2 linked regions of the Struthio camelus genome follow. The protein of the gene in region 1 interacts with the protein of each later gene in a pairwise test. Links are inferred from orthologs where the notes say so. Each region holds a gene or a part of one and is shown in the gene's direction. Other genes may lie near its edges.

What was found.
Region 2: the proteins of ABTB1 (region 1) and EEF1A2 interact in binary tests that used the Homo sapiens proteins (3 or more experiments, as listed by UniProt). The two-hybrid records come from large-scale screens. The link is inferred for Struthio camelus from reciprocal best matches to the Homo sapiens genes ABTB1 and EEF1A2.

Annotation. Positions count from the first base shown.
Region 1 is NC_090955.1:7,648,750-7,656,865, reverse strand, and holds the start of ABTB1 (ankyrin repeat and BTB/POZ domain-containing protein 1), read left to right. Parts: upstream 1-4,823; 5' UTR 4,824-6,027; coding exon 6,028-6,104; intron 6,105-6,414; coding exon 6,415-6,477; intron 6,478-7,540; coding exon 7,541-7,596; intron 7,597-8,116. UniProt on the Homo sapiens protein: May act as a mediator of the PTEN growth-suppressive signaling pathway. May play a role in developmental processes.
Region 2 is NC_090959.1:17,050,650-17,058,257, reverse strand, and holds the start of EEF1A2 (elongation factor 1-alpha 2), read left to right. Parts: upstream 1-4,447; 5' UTR 4,448-7,608. UniProt on the Homo sapiens protein: Translation elongation factor that catalyzes the GTP-dependent binding of aminoacyl-tRNA (aa-tRNA) to the A-site of ribosomes during the elongation phase of protein synthesis.

The DNA of each region.
Region 1 (8,116 bases):
TAAATTCACTTTGAGAGTCCAGCTGGGGTTACGGCAGCCAGACCCTGACCTTGTTGGCATCTGGGTTTATAGCTGTAGAGCGAAGATCATGATCTATCCCTGCAGGTGCGGTAAAACCTGTCTCATTCGGGATACGGGGAGCCAAGACTCACCTGATGTCCTGGGTAGAGCGTTTGCATTCCGCGTGTGCAGAGAGGTTTTGTAGTGCTCTAGCATTCGCTGCTAACTGGATGGGCTGATGTTTACATCTGGGGAAAACATCCCCATATGATCTCTTTTTCTCCTCTTACCCCCAACAGCCCCAACCTCTTTTCCAGTTCTACAGCTCCAAGTTGCGCTTGCAGAGTTTGAGCACTTTAACCTTTCTTGGGCTGCTTGACTGCAGAGAATTTGGTGCCATGGTGCAGCATCTTAGCTGGAAATCTGCTTTAGGCTGGAGAGTTGCTCAAAAAAAGACTTTAATCTGCCTCTTTCACCTAACAGCCTGTGAAATCAGCAGCAAAGTATCCCTTGCCTATGTCTTAGTCTTAGATTCGCAGGCCTTTTCCACTCCTTTTCCATTTTCCAGGGTAGTTTGGCTTCAGTTAATCTTTTGAGGTGAACGTACAGCCTATGTGAGACTTTTAAACAGGAAAAAAGTAAAAATTCAGAAACAGATAGTTTTCTGGTCCTTGTTTTTTCCTTTTCAGGAACCTGCCTTAGGCGAAAGTGTTTAATGTCACACTGGTGTAAATCAGGGGTAACATCTTTAAAATTGCTGCATTAAAACAAGTATAAAAGCCGGTTTAGGTGAGATCAGCATCAGATCTAAGAGTTCCCCAATGACTTTCTCAGGCACGCCTCAGGCAGCTTTGAGGCCCCAGCTCCCTGAAGATGTGTGATAAAAGGCACGTGAATATGCATAATTGTTCTCTGAGCCCTGCCTAAGTTGAGACTCGGAACTACTTGTGAGCCTGAAATCCCAGAACGTTTGTTTCTTCTGTCACCGAGGGATCGAGAGACTCGCTTTGGTCAAAGGCAATAGTATTTGCTTCCATTTATGATTAGCTGCTTGCTTGCTTTGTGCAAGATGCAGCTTCATGTTTGGTCTTTAAGGGAATCATTGTACAGAAGGACCCCAGGTATGTGGCCTGATGTTTGGCCTGTAAATCTATCCCTGTATGTACAGATATTTTTAGCATGTTCATCCCTGATGTGAGTGCCTAAAGTCAAGATACAGAAGAGTCTGTAGTTTCATTTTGCATAGCACTTTGCATACAGACTGAATCGCAGATTACTTCAATGTAGGACCATGTGGATATCAGTCTCTTATGGATTCAAGAAAGCTGATAACCTTTGGTTTTCTATCCAGATTCCAATTTTGAGTGTTTCTGTCCTGCCTCCGTACCTTTCCCTGCGTTATATAGGAGACGGTGTCTCTTGGCTCCTTTTTTATCTTGTCAGTAGAGTTGCAGAGCTGCCCGGAGGAGTTCCCTCTCCCGCCTCAGCAGTTGACGGTGGGTGGCTGGTGAGGGGAGACGCTCCACAGACATGAGCAGGCCACATGCAGCCCTGCTCTGACAGCCCTTCACTGACAGCCTCTGCCCAGTTCGGTGGGTCTGTGCAGTGAACCTGCACAAGTTCAGGGACTGTGTTGATGGCGCTTTGGGGCTCACAGGGTTAAACGTAAGTTGTTGTTATGACATGGTAAGTGATTTAAAGCATGGAGTTAAATTTTGAGTTTGTATAGCACTTAGCATAACAAGGCCTGGCATAGCTGTGGCCTTTAGGCAGTTTCACCGTATAAATGTTTATAAGTCCAATAATCCTCATTAAACACACTTTTAATACTCGGTGGCTATTAAAAAGATAAAGCCACCAATCGAATGTGAACTAGTTCACCCACAAAACGCTTCCTTGGTGCACTTCATTGCTAAGAGCTGCTTTGCTGCCCTATTTTCTCTCCACTTTACTAATGCAGAGAAACAACAAGGTGTGCTGATAAAGTAATGCTTCTTGTGTCACAATTGGGCTCGGCACCTCCTGATCTGGTCTAAAGTCTTCAAACTTTAAATAGGCCAAGGAGGCCATCCAGGCTCATTAAAAAGCAATGCTGACTCTTGAGGCTGTCAGCTAGCAAGCTCTCCTGATCTGCTGCTCCGGCTTATTTGGGCCTGATCGTATTCCAGAGACTGTAGTGCTCTCTTCTGAAGCTGGAGTGCTCCAGGGTGTCTTGAGAGCGTCCAAGGGTGACTGTCAGCAAGCTGAGAACAATGTTCTGATGTCTCTGACGTGATGCGCTTGCCTGTGTGATCTCAGTTTAGCTCCAGAAATCTACTGGTTAGGAGCATTTCATTTTAATACGGAGATACTTTTTATACCTTTTCCATTTGTTCTTCTTTGTATTATTTTTTGCACTAGGCTGATCTTGTTAAGTCAATTGCACTGTTGTCCCTATCCCGCAAACCTTGCGGACGGGTCATCTCTCGGTACCTGCGGGCTGGGAAGTGCTGCAGAGTGAGGCTATTGGTAGCCTGTTTCGCTCTGGTTCTGTTGTTCAGGGCTTGGGTTACCAGCTCTGCACGGGGAGGCTTTAAGGAGGAGGAGAAACCTTATATTGTCATTTGTAACAGGAAGCTTTTCTATCACCTTAATGTAGTTAAACTTGTTTTTAACAAACGCTGTCAAAGCTGGACTTCTCAGAGGGGTGTGCCAGGCAACAGAGCAGAGAAGACAATAATTCCTGGAAATCTATTTCTCACTACTAGGACTTCACTGTAGTCCCGTCTGTTTGATCACACTGACACCTGGTGGCTGCTGGGAGTTAAAGAATAAAAAAGGACTTTTTTCTCCCCTCTTAACTATGGATATTTATTTTCAAGTCACCTGTTTTATTCACACGGGGGGCTGCTGGAAGCACTTATGAGCAGAGGGGCTCGTGCGAGGGATGGCTCGTGTGAGTGTGTCCCTGCCTGCAAAGCGATGAGATGGGCTGCTCCCGGGAGTCCCCAGTGCAGAGACCCTGGACAGCAATACGGGGCTGCAGCCCTGTTCCTGCTTTCTCCTCCACTTTTCCCCTCCAGGAGCATGGCCAGAAATCAAGAGACTGGGAATTGAAGGTGGCTCTCCAGAGAGGAGCTCTGCACCCCGGGGAGCACCAGTGCTTGGCCGGAGGCTCAGCTGCAGTCAGCAGGGTGGCTGTCCCCAGCGGGGACGCGCCCCTCCACGAGGCGGCAGCAGATACGAGCTGGCCTGACCAAGCTGCAGTTGCCCCCAGCTGTTGCCCTGATGCCTAGAGCAGGGTCTGTAACGTAGGGTGGTAGCCCAATGCGTGCTAGGCAGGCAGGCTGCCCTGTGACCCACAGAAAGTAGGGGGACGCTGTGGAGTGACCCGCACTCTGCAACGTGCATGTCGGGTCGAGAACATGGTTCAAGATCCCACCTCGAGGAGCCCTCTAGGCAAAGGGTGCCAGTCCGTCTTCGCCAGCCGGCAAGCAAACGTCTCCCTGCAGGGGGGACACGGCACCTGGTGCTCCATCAAGAGAGACACCACGCACATCGGCCCCCCCTTGACCCACGGCAGCCCCTGTGGGCTCATCTCGCCTACAAATGGGGCTCCCAGCCGTCAGCTCAGGCTGGGTGCGCGGTCTCGACGCCCTGGTCGCTGCGGGGCTCGGTGGCTGATTTTGAGGGTTGCTGCTGGAGAACATCGAAAACGCTTGTGTCCGCCCTGGAAGCCACGGGGTCGTGGCTTGGTTTTCTTTGCAATAAAATGCACCTCCCGGGTGTGTGAACACTGACTCAGGCGCGAGTCCTTTGCTGGAACTCACAGCCGCTGTGTCCTTGGGGTTGTCCCACCCTTGCTGTGGGTTATCCTAGCTGCCATGGGGCCGGCGTGTTCCAGAACGGACCTTCCCCCGTGCGTTGCGCAGCAGAACCCCTCCTGTGTGCGTTGCAGAGCAGGAACCCCCCCCCCCCATGCTTTCCAGAGGAGGACCACCCCTCCCGCTGAGCTCCAGAACAGTCTGCCCCTCTAGGTGTGCTCTGGAGCAGCCCCCCCACAATGCATCCATGCATGTTCCAGAGTAGCCCCCCACCAGGTGCACTCCAGAACCCCCCCGCCCGTTCTGCAGCAGGCCCCCCCCCCCCGCATGCTCCAGAGCAGTCCCCCATAGGTGTACTCCAGAACCCCCCCAGCCTGTTCCAGAGCAGCCCCCACCTGTGCGCTCCAGAAACCCCTTCCCGCGTTCCAGAGCAGCCCCCAACCAGACACGTTCCAGAACATCCCCCCCTCCCCCCCCGAGCACCTGCCCCCCGGCGCGCTCCAGAACCCGCCCCCCCCCCCCCCCACCGCGTTCCAGAGCCGCCCCGGCCCAGCCCGCTCCTCCGGGCCGCAGGGGGCGCTGCGCGGCGCGGCGGCAGGCGCGAGGGGCCGCTCCCGCCCGCCCCGCCCACCGCCGTGTTTACATCCGCCGCCGCTTCCGTCCCGCCGCCGCGGCCCCCTCCCGGCCCCGTCCGCTGGCTCCTTCCCCCCCCCACCCCCCGGCCCGGCCCGGCCCGGCAGTGTCAATGCGGCGCCGCCGCCCCGCGGCCTACCCCGGCCATGGACACCAGCGACCTGTTCACCAGCTGCAAGAAGGGAGACGTGAGCCGTGTGCGGTGAGCGGGGCCGGAGCCGGGGCCGGTGGCCGGGGCCGACCGCTGCCGCCGGGCCGGGCCGGGCCGCGGCGGTTTCGCCGCGTAACGTGGCGGGTTGCTGCCCGCCGCGCTGCCCCCGCCGCCGCTGGTGGCGGTGGGTGTCTCCCGCGGGGTCGCCGCGGCCACGGCGAGCTGGGACGTGGGGAGGAGAAACTGCTCTTTTTAAAATAAATGAACGCCTTTTTCCCCCGAAAGGGTGTGGGGGATGCTCTGTTGCGTCCTTCCTCTCGTTCTTAGGTTTGGTTTGTTTGTTTGTTTTTTACCCGCTTTCTTAAAACGCGGGTCCCTGGGTGTCAGGTGCTGCGGTTCGCTTCCTTCACGCGCGCGCTGGCGGCGGCGAGCGTCCTGCCGAGGGTCCGCTGTCTTCCCTTGCTCCTTCGCTGCTGTCGGACGTGAGGTTTGCAGTGGTAGGGAACGAGATCGCTGGAACGCGGTCGTCGTGGAAGCGTTTGAACGCCGTGCCCTGGAGGCTGTGGCGCTCTCTCTGAGAAACAGCGGGCCGCTAAATTTTGGCTCAAGTTCTCTTGCTACTATTGAAGCAATGTGCTTTAGCTGAAGCGATTTCAGATCGGGAGTCACAGGGCCGTCTCGTCTGCATTGGTGAAGGAACGTTGCAACCCGAAGGCCGAGAGCGCGTGAGGTGTTCTTTGCTGCATCTCTGGGTTTGAGTCCAAGACTGCTTTTCACTTTTCAGCTCTGCTCAGTTGTTCTTGCTCCTGACATGTGGATCTCTCCAGATAAACAGAAGGTGATCTGTGTTTCAAGGTGCTTGCTAGTTAAGGATAAATAGGCAGATGGAAGAGGTCTGGAGAATGTTTATATCCAGTGCTTTTTGAGCACTGCAAGCAGTAAATTGTATCTTTTCCCTAGATGGGGAGGCCCTGCAGGTGGCCTTGCAGAGGTTGTAAGATGACAGCGTAGAACAGAGGGTAGGGAAATGATCAGTTTGGGAATGCTGTCAAAGCAGAGGGGGCAAGATGACAACGTGGAGCTGAGCAGAGAGGGCTGAGTAGAGAGGAGAGGAATCGCTTTAGATTTTGAATATAGTTAGAAGAAGGTGAAGTTTAAGACAAGAAAAGATGGAGAGAGGAGAAGAGGGGAATGATGTGATGGAAGAGGAAAATGACTTGAGAATCTTTGTGAAGGCTCAGGGGGACCTTTACTCATGGTCAGGAGAAATTGTGTTGCAATAATTGAGGGCACTCTATAACAAGAGCCAGCTTGCGTAGGAGGCAAGGCAAAGGCCAACTTCTAGAGTTGCCAAAGAGGAGGAGTTGGCAGCGTTTGATATAGCCCAAATGTGCAGGGCAAGAAAGCGACAGGAATTAAGGACAGCCTGGAGAGACACTGATGATGTTACTTGTGGCAGCAAAGCCACAGGCAGGATGGGAGTCCAGCTTTGGCCTTGTAAATTTGGCCTCTTATTTGTAAGTGTCGAGACTGTGAGCGTTGTAGGAGAACATGAAGGTATTATTGGAGTGCTCAGGCTTCGTTCATAATTGCTGTGTCATTAGGGGTCAGCAGGAAGGGAGCTGTCGAGCCGTGTGGCAGAACGTTGCTTTTCAGGTCGTGTGTTCGACTGATGCCCCTTCAGCCATTGCTTCCCCTGGCCTCATGCAAGTTTTCGTCCTGCCTTCGGAATTTACTATGCAAAACAGGTCGCCTCTTTTTAGAGGGGAAACGTGGCTGACTGAGCAACTGCATGAAGTTATGACTTTGCTCTCCCTTCTCTTCCAGATACCTTCTTGAGCAGCGAGATGTGGAAATCAACGTCCGCGATAAATGGGACAGTACCCCTCTGTGAGTCCTGCAGCCTCAGAGGCTGGGTGGGAGGCTAGGGCTTTTGGAGCTCCTTTGTCCTCTCTCCATCAGCACCTAGCAGCACTGTTACAAAATATCTCTGGTTCTGCTTTGTGGGAGTTTTGGCCAGGAGTTTTTGCCTCTCTCCTCTGCGGGTACTGTGCTAGATGCGTCCTTCTCCTCCCATCTGAAGGAGATTTGCTGTAGAAGCGCTGAGAAGCATGGTTAATTTTGTAACCAAATTACCTGGATTAAGCAGTCTGTTCTTGGCCCAATTAGGCTGTTTTTTCTCAAACTCTGTGGCATTTTAGCCTTTCAGGTAAAGGCTCTGCTTGGTGAAATGTAGTGCTATTGTGGGATTACTGTCTGTCTAGTGGGGTTGGGGACCTGCAGTAGATAGTGGAGAATCACCATGCTGGTAGTGAGAAGGATAGTATGGGCTTTGTACCTCCTCGCATGCTAATTTCAAAGTGTGTTTAGACATCCACAATATATTTAGCATATGAAGTATCTCTGCAGAGCAAAAGTGGACTAACATTTGCCTGCTGCAGTGCAGGTTGCAAGGCTAGTTTGAGGTCCTCATTTGAAAGAGAGTCATAAAAGGCTTAGGTTGTGGGAAGAGAAAAACAAATCCATCTTAAGCAGAACTTTTGAGAGGTGCATTTGCTGTACCTCTGCTTTGAGTGCTGTTCCCTCATTATCCTAGGGCAGCAGCAGACTGACAGTAAAAGGAGCAGAGAGTGTTTCTGAGAATGCGGTGGAATTGCTGAGTGTTGCACTGTGAAATGAACTCACAGTGCAACAAAAGATGCTGAACCAAGACTGGGACCTTGAGATCTCCTTGCAGGACAGCAGGGCCTAGCATTGCTCAGGACAGATCCTGCTCAGTGTTGCAGGGATCAGACTTCTGTGCTATTTGGGAGCAATTTCACACTCTGTGAGGAATCATCTTCTAAGCTTGTCAGTGATAGCTCAGTGCTGAGGTCTGCATGCTGCGATGTACCCCAGCACTGAAATTTTCTTCATGTTATATCTCTAATTTTCTTTCTCTTGTTATTTCCAGATATTATGCTTGCCTGTGTGGACACGAAGAGCTCGTACGCTATCTTCTAGCCAATGGTGAGCAAAAGTGTCCTGCTTATGAGTGCCATGTTTTTCTCTATACCAGTCTGTTGGGACTGTACACCTTCTAGCTGTCTCTTGTGAAACCTTCTTCTATTAAAACCAAGCATCTGATCAGTGATCTCAGGCTTCAGAGGGACCCCACGGTCATCCAGGACCCATTTCTGTGGTCCTTCCTGCAGATTACTTGCTGCTTGAATTTGCTACAAGGAAGCTGTCTCTGATGACTCATTAGACAATGTGACTTTCTGAAATCACAGCTCATGTTTCGCAAGGATGTGTTACTATTGGGAATGTGTTGCTGCAAGAATTGTACCACCTCTGGAGAACTGTCTGTATAAAACTTCTACTGTTCTGATAGAGTCTTGCTTCATACGTAGGACTTTACTAAAAGCCTTTGCATTTCACCTTTATTTCAAACAAGGCAAAGCAAACTCTCAGGCAAAATGACTGACCATTTAGTTCCCAGCACCCAAATTCCCCAAGACTGTAATGCTGTTGTGCCTTGTGGCAAAGG
Region 2 (7,608 bases), on another chromosome or scaffold:
AGGCGAAGCGAGCAGCCCCTCCGGCAGCCAAACGCACGCGGCCGCCAAGGCGAGCGACAGTGCGACGACGCTCACGAGACCGCCGGCACGCGCCCCAAAACCGCCTGCCTGGGCTACCGCGTTTTGGGCCGCCTGCAAACGGCCCCAGCCGCCGCCCTCGCGATGCTCGGGGCACGTCGCCTCCCTGCTGCGGTCGCTTTCGCACCAGCGGCCGCGGGCTGGGCGAAGCGGGGATGAGCCAGCGGCCCTGCCACCTCCGCAAAGCGCCAGTTCAAGCCTTCCCACACTCCAGATGAGGCTTTCCTCTAAGGATGACCCACTCTGGGGGCTTCCTGCTGCTCAATGCTTCCACACACTTGTGTCCCCACGGGCTGGCACGTGGTCCCCGGGCTGCAAGCACACCAGCAGCCTTGGCCTTAATCGAGGTGGGAAACTGAGGCACGGGCAGTCAAGCCCAGCGCACAGGCGAAACCCCACCATCGCCAGGCGCCCCGAGTTGCCCAAACCGTGGCGGGACATGAGCCCCCAGCTCGGTGTGCCCCGAAGGGCGCTGGGCCCGGAGCCAAACCCCCACCGGGAGGGGCAGAGGCAGTGGGTGCTCTCGCTCCCCGGACCGTGCACGGCGCTGCCTGCTTTGCAGGGGCGAGATGGGCAGCGCCGGACACCCTGAGCAGCCCCCAGCACCGCATGCAGCGCCGGGCACCCCCAGCGACGCCGAGCACAGCATGCAGCACCGAGCACCCCCAGCACAGTGCGCAGCGCCCAGAACCCCCCAGCAACGCCCCGACCCCCCCGCGCACCTGGGTAGGGGGCGAGGCGAGGTGACAGCGAGGCGACGGCGCTAGGGCCGCGGGGCCCTCGGCGGCGGCGCCGCCGCCGCCCGGGGAGCGCTGGCGTGCGCGTCCGCTCCGCACGGACCCCGACGCAGCGCTGCCGGCCCCGCCCCAGCCGCGCTCTTTATATCCCCTCTGGCCCCGCCCACGCGACGCATCTCCGCCAATGGGACTCCGGGTCGCGAAGCACCGCCCCTTCCCTGGGAGGGGCGGGATGGCGGGGCTCCGCCCCCTCTCCCCCCACCCGCGCGGGGTCTGTGCGCAGCGCCGAGCACCCGGCGGGCGGGCGGCCGCAAGGGGCGGCTTTAATGCAAAAAAAACCCGAGCAAATTAAAAACTGCCTCGAACCGAGGTTCATTAAAGATGCTCTCTCTGGAAATCTGCTCTCGCTGCATGTGCCCCCCTCCCTCCCCAATGCGCGGTTTGCTGGGGTTGCTCTTGTCCTAGCCAAAACAGGAGGAAGCAAAACAAAAACATATATACATATATGTATGCACGTAAATCTATATATACACACACATATACAAAAAAAGAAAACCTTAAGTTAAAATTTAGCATTGGAAGTTAAATGTTAAAATGCAGCCTACAAATACTGCCAGCCCTAGAAAGTTGAAGAATTTAAATGTGTGATGATGCCGTTTCAGTACTTTGTTAATATTTAGCGAAAATATAGTGCCAACAACAAACAAGCTATCTAATGACCATCTTATGTAACGCGGCATTAAGAGAGAGCCAAGACAGCCTTTCTCACGAAATGCTTGCTCTGCAGAACCAAGGGGAAAAAAAGACAAAAAAAAAAAAACCCTAGCACAGTTCAATATTTGAAATTTCGTGGGAGAAAAAGATTTTAAAAATTTCAAGCAAAATATACCGGACTCAACCACATTTCAAATTAATCAAAAAAATAAATAAATAAAGCTTGAAGGGATACTGAACTGCGTCGGTTGTATTAGTTTCATATAAGAAAGGCTTGTTTGAGAAGAAGCAGCCTGCAACAAGGCCTAGGCACCTCCAGCGCTGAAGCACCGCTCCTCGACGCTTGGACACCAGTACAGTACGCTATATAAATAAAAACATACTGCTAAATAAAATATCGCTAAAATGCTGGAAGCATCGGTCCCAGCTCCAAACTTCAGACCCCAGAGGGCCTCGGCGCTCGGGTCTCGAGAAATTTATCTGACCTAGAATGAAAAAAATAGCCTAAAATTTGGGTGCTTCGGAGCAGCCAGGGAGGAATCACAGTGCTGACGGCAAGAATCCAGTTTGAGTTCCTGGGACGAAGCCTGCGCCGGGCACGTTCAGGAGACGAAGATACATTTCATTTGTAACCGGTCGAGAATCAATCGTTTTAAAAGCGGACGGATGACAAGATTTGGACGGATTTTCGCTGCGCTTTTCCTCTAATGAGAGCCTCCGAGTTTACTGCCGCTCTCTTTACAGCTGGCTTCTGAGCACCGTTTCGGTGTTTTTTTCTCTCCTTTAAGACCCCAACGGGAAGGATGTTAGGAGCCCCTTAGAGCCTCCGGTTGGGGATTCACGGCGGGAGGGAAGTATCTCGGCTCTCAGCGGGAAGAAAAATAGCTTTTCTGTCTGAACTAAGTGACTTGAAAAGAGGAGTCAAGGGTTCCCGCAGAGCATCCTGAGGACGAAGCCCCGCGTCCTTGCCGCGTGCCGCGGCCCGCTGCGCGGCGCGCACCCCGCTACACAGCAGCCTCCCCTTGCCTTCCGCGAGGCTAAAGGAAAGTTTTCAACTCCTTCGCTTGCACATGGCATCACTTAAACCCCGCTGTTACACGGGCTGCGCTCTCCGGAGGGGACCCCACGGGCGGACGCCGCCGCCGTCGGCCCAGCGCTCCCGCCTCGCTGCATCGCCGCCTCCAGCCTGCTGCAAAATCAGCTCCATCTCCCCCCCCCCCCAAAAAAAAAAAACCAGAAACAGCCGGTATAAACCTCCCACGGGGCTGCCCGGAGGTGGCATCGCCCAGGAGCCGGGTCACCATGCAGCGCGGGCAGCTGCTGCCACCTATGGATATAAATTAGCCTCGATGTTCAGCCCGGGTGCTCGGCTGAATGGGAAACGGGAGGGTGGGCACCGGCGGGAGCCTCCTGGCCGCGCAGGGCCACGCTCCCCTCCGGCGCCTGGCGGGCGCCCAGCGTGTCCGGCCGCGGGCCGAGCGCGGGCCAGGGTCCCCCTTGCACCACGCACGTCTCCCGAGTGCAGCCCGTAGCGAGTCCCAGGCTGCTTCGTTCGCTTGCGCCAAAAACTTAAGCCTCCGATCCGGGGCAAGCGGTGAGGAGACACGGAGCATCCAAGGCGGCGTAACGGAGGGTCAGCCACGCGAGCGCGACTCGGCGTCGCTCGTCCGACCAGGGCGTCTGTTTAACCCCCTTCGAAAAAGCCGTGAGATGTCTGGCTAGCAGCTACTACTTGCTGCGATAAAGCAGGCGCTAGAGAAATTTTGGTTACACAAGCAAGTTCCCACCTGCTGACCCCTCCGCTCCTTTGGCCAAGCCTTGGGGTCGAAGGACGGTGCGCAGAAGGGGACGGTTCAACGTGTGTGTCTAATCAGTAAAGCAATGTGCTAATCCGGGCAAATCTGGGAATTGCCTTGCAGAAACCAGCGGAGGAGCTGCTCAGCATTTATCTTTCCACAGAAAACTGTTAGGCCGGTGCCTCCTTTCTAGGATGAGCGCGTGCGATTTTGCTACCAATCCGTGATACAAAGCACGCAAACAAATCGATGGCTAATGTAATTCCGCAGGTTTCGATGCGGGTCAGCGCAGCAGTGAGTCTGCTCATTACTGTCTCCCTCTGGATGCGCCTGAAGCTTGTGCTGTTGGCCAGATGCTTCCATTAGCAGCCCTTCATCTACGGTGATGAGAAGATGCGGGCAGTGGGGCTCTCTCAGCTCAGTGGCCGCGGTTTAATAAGAAAAGCTGTCCCCTTGCATTGCTTTTCTTGCCTCGCGGACGTGAAGGGCTCTCCAAACGAGCGCAGCGACGGGCGGCAGCTTGATACAGCCCCGGACTCCCTCGCTGTACAAACAGTGCAGTCCGGTGCTGTGCAGCATGCCGAAAATGGCACTGAACCACAGGGCAGAGGCGTCTTATCTCCCTGCTGCTTGCCCTGCCTGGGGAACGAAGCGGCGCCCCGGGATGGGATCTCTCCCCGTCTCGGCGCGCGCTGAGATTTACAGGATCAGCTCCTCCGGCCGCTGCAGGTGTGACGTCCACCGCTCGCCCAGGCGCCGAAACTGCTGGGGCGTCCCGAAAGCAACGCATTCGAGACTACCGTATCAAGAGGCAAGTTTTCGCAGAGGACAAGTGCCTGTCTTGGCTGCTCCTCGGAGCGACAGCGGGTCAGACGGAGCAGCTGGATTGTATTCTGTGCAGCCTCTTTTGCGGCAACCGCGTCTCAAGGGAGCGCGAAGAAGCAGAGCGGCAACATTATAATAGCAAAGGGGAAGGTGAAGAGCGGAGAAGGAGTTAAAGTCGTCAGAGGAAATAGGCGTTTGGATGACGAGCTGCTTCGGCGCTGGATGTGGGGAAATGCTCCTAGGGGCAGGACTTTAGACCTCCGCTGATTTTGTAATCTGGTGCTGGCTGGTTTGCACGGCTCGGGGTCGGCGTTTCAGGCAGAGCAGGGTCTGCGCGAGCCGGCCTGGGCTCCGGCGCTGCTTTCGGGGTGGTTTTTACCTTTGAGACCACTCTTTCCAACTTGGCTGAATTTTGGCCAAGAGCCTCCTGCAAGCGATTTGCTGGGGACACGGCCACGCTATGCCCGGCCGTTATTAAAACGCTGCTCAAGTGACACCTTGCTCTGGTGCGCTCCCACGCCGGGAGCTCCGGGGCCGGGAGCCTTCCCGCGGCGGCGGTTAACCTAAGCCAGCCCTGCCTCGAGGCGATACTGTCCCACGAGAGCGCACGCCGCACCGGGGGCCCGGCACTGGGACCCCCCCATCATCCCGGATGAGCTAGGGAAGCCGGAGCCGAAGGCCTCGTTGTCTGGAGGTATTTTTAGGCTGCTTCATCCTGGAGAGCCGGATTCAGTTGCTAAGCAGACGCCGTTCCCAACCCTCCTCCAGCCCCTCAGCATCCCCGCTCGCTAGCGCAGGATTGGGCCCATCGGGCTGCTGTGTGCTGCCCTCACCCCGGCTGGCACCAAACCTTCGCTCGCCGAGCTACAAGGATGCCGGAGGGGGCACGTCTTTGCCCTATCTCAGCCTTGTAATTTCCCATCCGCTGGAGCGATTCGCCCGTCCCGGCACCTCTGCCCGTCCCGGTCCGGCGCGGTGACGCTGCGCCCAGGAGGACGGCAGGCACAGCAGCTTGCGGGAGCCCTCCGAGAACAGGGGCGACAGCGATCGCCGTCCCCAGCCGGCTGGGCTGCTGGAGGGCTTGGCCGTCTCGGCATCACCTCCAAAGTTTATTTTTAAACCTCTGGCTGTGGTTTAGCGGGATCAGCAGCGTGTGCTGCTGCAGCGCCTTGGGCCGTTCCCCGCTGCCGCCCCGCTCCTTCGCCGCCGCTGCCTGCCCAACGCTGCTGCCCTCGCCCGGAGCTGCCAGGCCTGACCCGCTCCCCGAAAGCCTTCTGCTCTCCGGCACCTCGGCCTGAGGAGCAGTAAGTCTGGCCCACGTCCGAGCCGCCCTGAATAGCAGCGTAAACATGCACCAAAATCCGCCAGGCATCACACCCGCGAATCCATCCCCTCAGAGCTGGTACCTTACTCCAAGGCCAATCCCTTTCCCTCGGCACCGGCCACGGCGCTGGGAATCGCCACGTGGCAGAGCCGTGGGCGGCTGGTTTCGTGGGGCTTTGAGCTCGCTTGGTTTGGGCACACAGTAACCTACAGCTGCTGCAACGGCGGGGTGCAAAGGCAGGGCTGGCGTGGAGGGAGCCGAAACCCCCATCATGCAAAGACGGAAACCTTACAGTCTTCATCCCTTCCCTTCCCTCCCCAAGCTCCTCTGCTGGCTGGTCCGATGCCTGTTGCTTATGGGGATGCAGAAAACAGCATGAGGCCCCACGTTTCTTCTTTTCAAGGCAAGTATCTCTCTTGCTTTGAAAGGCAAGGAGGAGGAAAATAGCAGCTTTTGCCCTCGGGAGATGCTCAAAGAGGTCATCCGTTGTGGCCATGCAGTCTGAGTCTCTGGTCCAGGCCTCGAGACAGTTCGCTGGCATTTCTCCATCGCGCCTCCAGCGTCCCCGTCGGCGAGAGCGGGGCTTCTGGAGGCTGTCGGGTCGGGCATCCCCTGTGGCTAACGCCTGCGTTGCTAAAAAACCCCGCCTTCAAACTGAGACGCGATGCATTTTGCAGAGTCAAAAATGCAACAGCTCGGCGAGCTGAACGCATTACTCATGGGAATAAACACCCCCGGCGAGAAGGCAAATTCAGACAGGCAGCTTGCGATGTTTACAGCCCAGTTACATACAAATTAAGACGCTGCGGATTACTCGTTCTCCCATGCAAACTGCAGGGGGCCTTCCGGGGGAAAAAAAAACCCCAAAAACCTCATTCATTATGCCTGGGCAAATGTGAATTTTAGCAGAGCTTAAAGCATCAGTCCCAAAGGTGGGGGCTGCGGAGTCGGCGGGAGCCGGTGCCGCTGCCCTGGGCATGGCGCGGGCGCTGCGTGGGCATCAGCCCTTGCCCGCAGCACGCAGGCAGCGGTGCCCTTCAGAGAGGAGTCTCTGTCTTCTCGAATGATCCCAAATCATTCGGTGATGGCTTTTTGCTAGGCTAAAAGAAGGGTGGGGGTACCAGAGACTGAAGAGGACGCATGGGAACGGCTTCACCCGCCACCGGGAGCCGTTCCCGAGCCAGATGGATGCAGACAAGGCGCTAAACTTCCAGCCGCCCCCAGATTTTGGCTGTCCGGGTTTATTTTTTTTTGTGCATAGCTGAGGGTTTAAAGACAGATTAGTAATATTTTTCAGATGCTTGGTCAAGCATTGGGGGGAAGTGGTTCCCCTCTGGCGTGGAAACCATGCCAAGTGCTTGATGATCCAAAAGGATCGAATGTGTTCGACCTGAAACCCTTTGCCCCGGAGCCGGAAGGCGCGCGAGACGCCGGCGGACCTCAGCAGACGGCTATCACTTTAAGTCTCGCAGAGGCTGGGCATCGCGTGGCTCAACCTAGCCCGGATTAGCCAGGTCTGACGGCGCTCTATCCTTTCCGTGCCCTGGACTATTTATAGTCTGATGGGCTGTCAGGCTCTGTTTCATTGTAGAAATAAAATGCACGCTACGGGTAGACTCTGGCCCGGTTTCCGTACGTGCCAGCAAGGCAGACTGGGCGCCACGGTGCACAACCTGCTTGTCCAAAGCAGACATGAAACTGCAAACATGTCTGTACGGGAAGGATGATCCACCTGCGCTCCCGAGCGGCGCTCGGACAGCGGCCAGGTTCTCAGGGGCGTCTGAGTTGGGCGGCGTTTGGCTGGCCTTAGGCTCCCCAGTGCTCTCATGAATTTGTCCTGCGTGGTTACCTGCCATGCTATTTTTAATGTTTGCTAGATGCACTCTTCATTTCTCTTTCTTCTGTCTGGGGAAAAGGGTAAAAATTCAAACCAGCTATTTTTACTGGAGAAAAAAAGGATACAAAAGAGGCCCATTACACACTCTCCATATCCCTGGGCTTGCAGGCAGACAGACCCTGGGTTTTGCTCTATCCTGTGACTTCAATGAAGGCCGAAGTCTTTACCAACGGACCCAGGCTGGGTCTCACCGCAGGCAATTCCCAGGCTGGCTGCAGTCATTGCATTGAAAGGGGA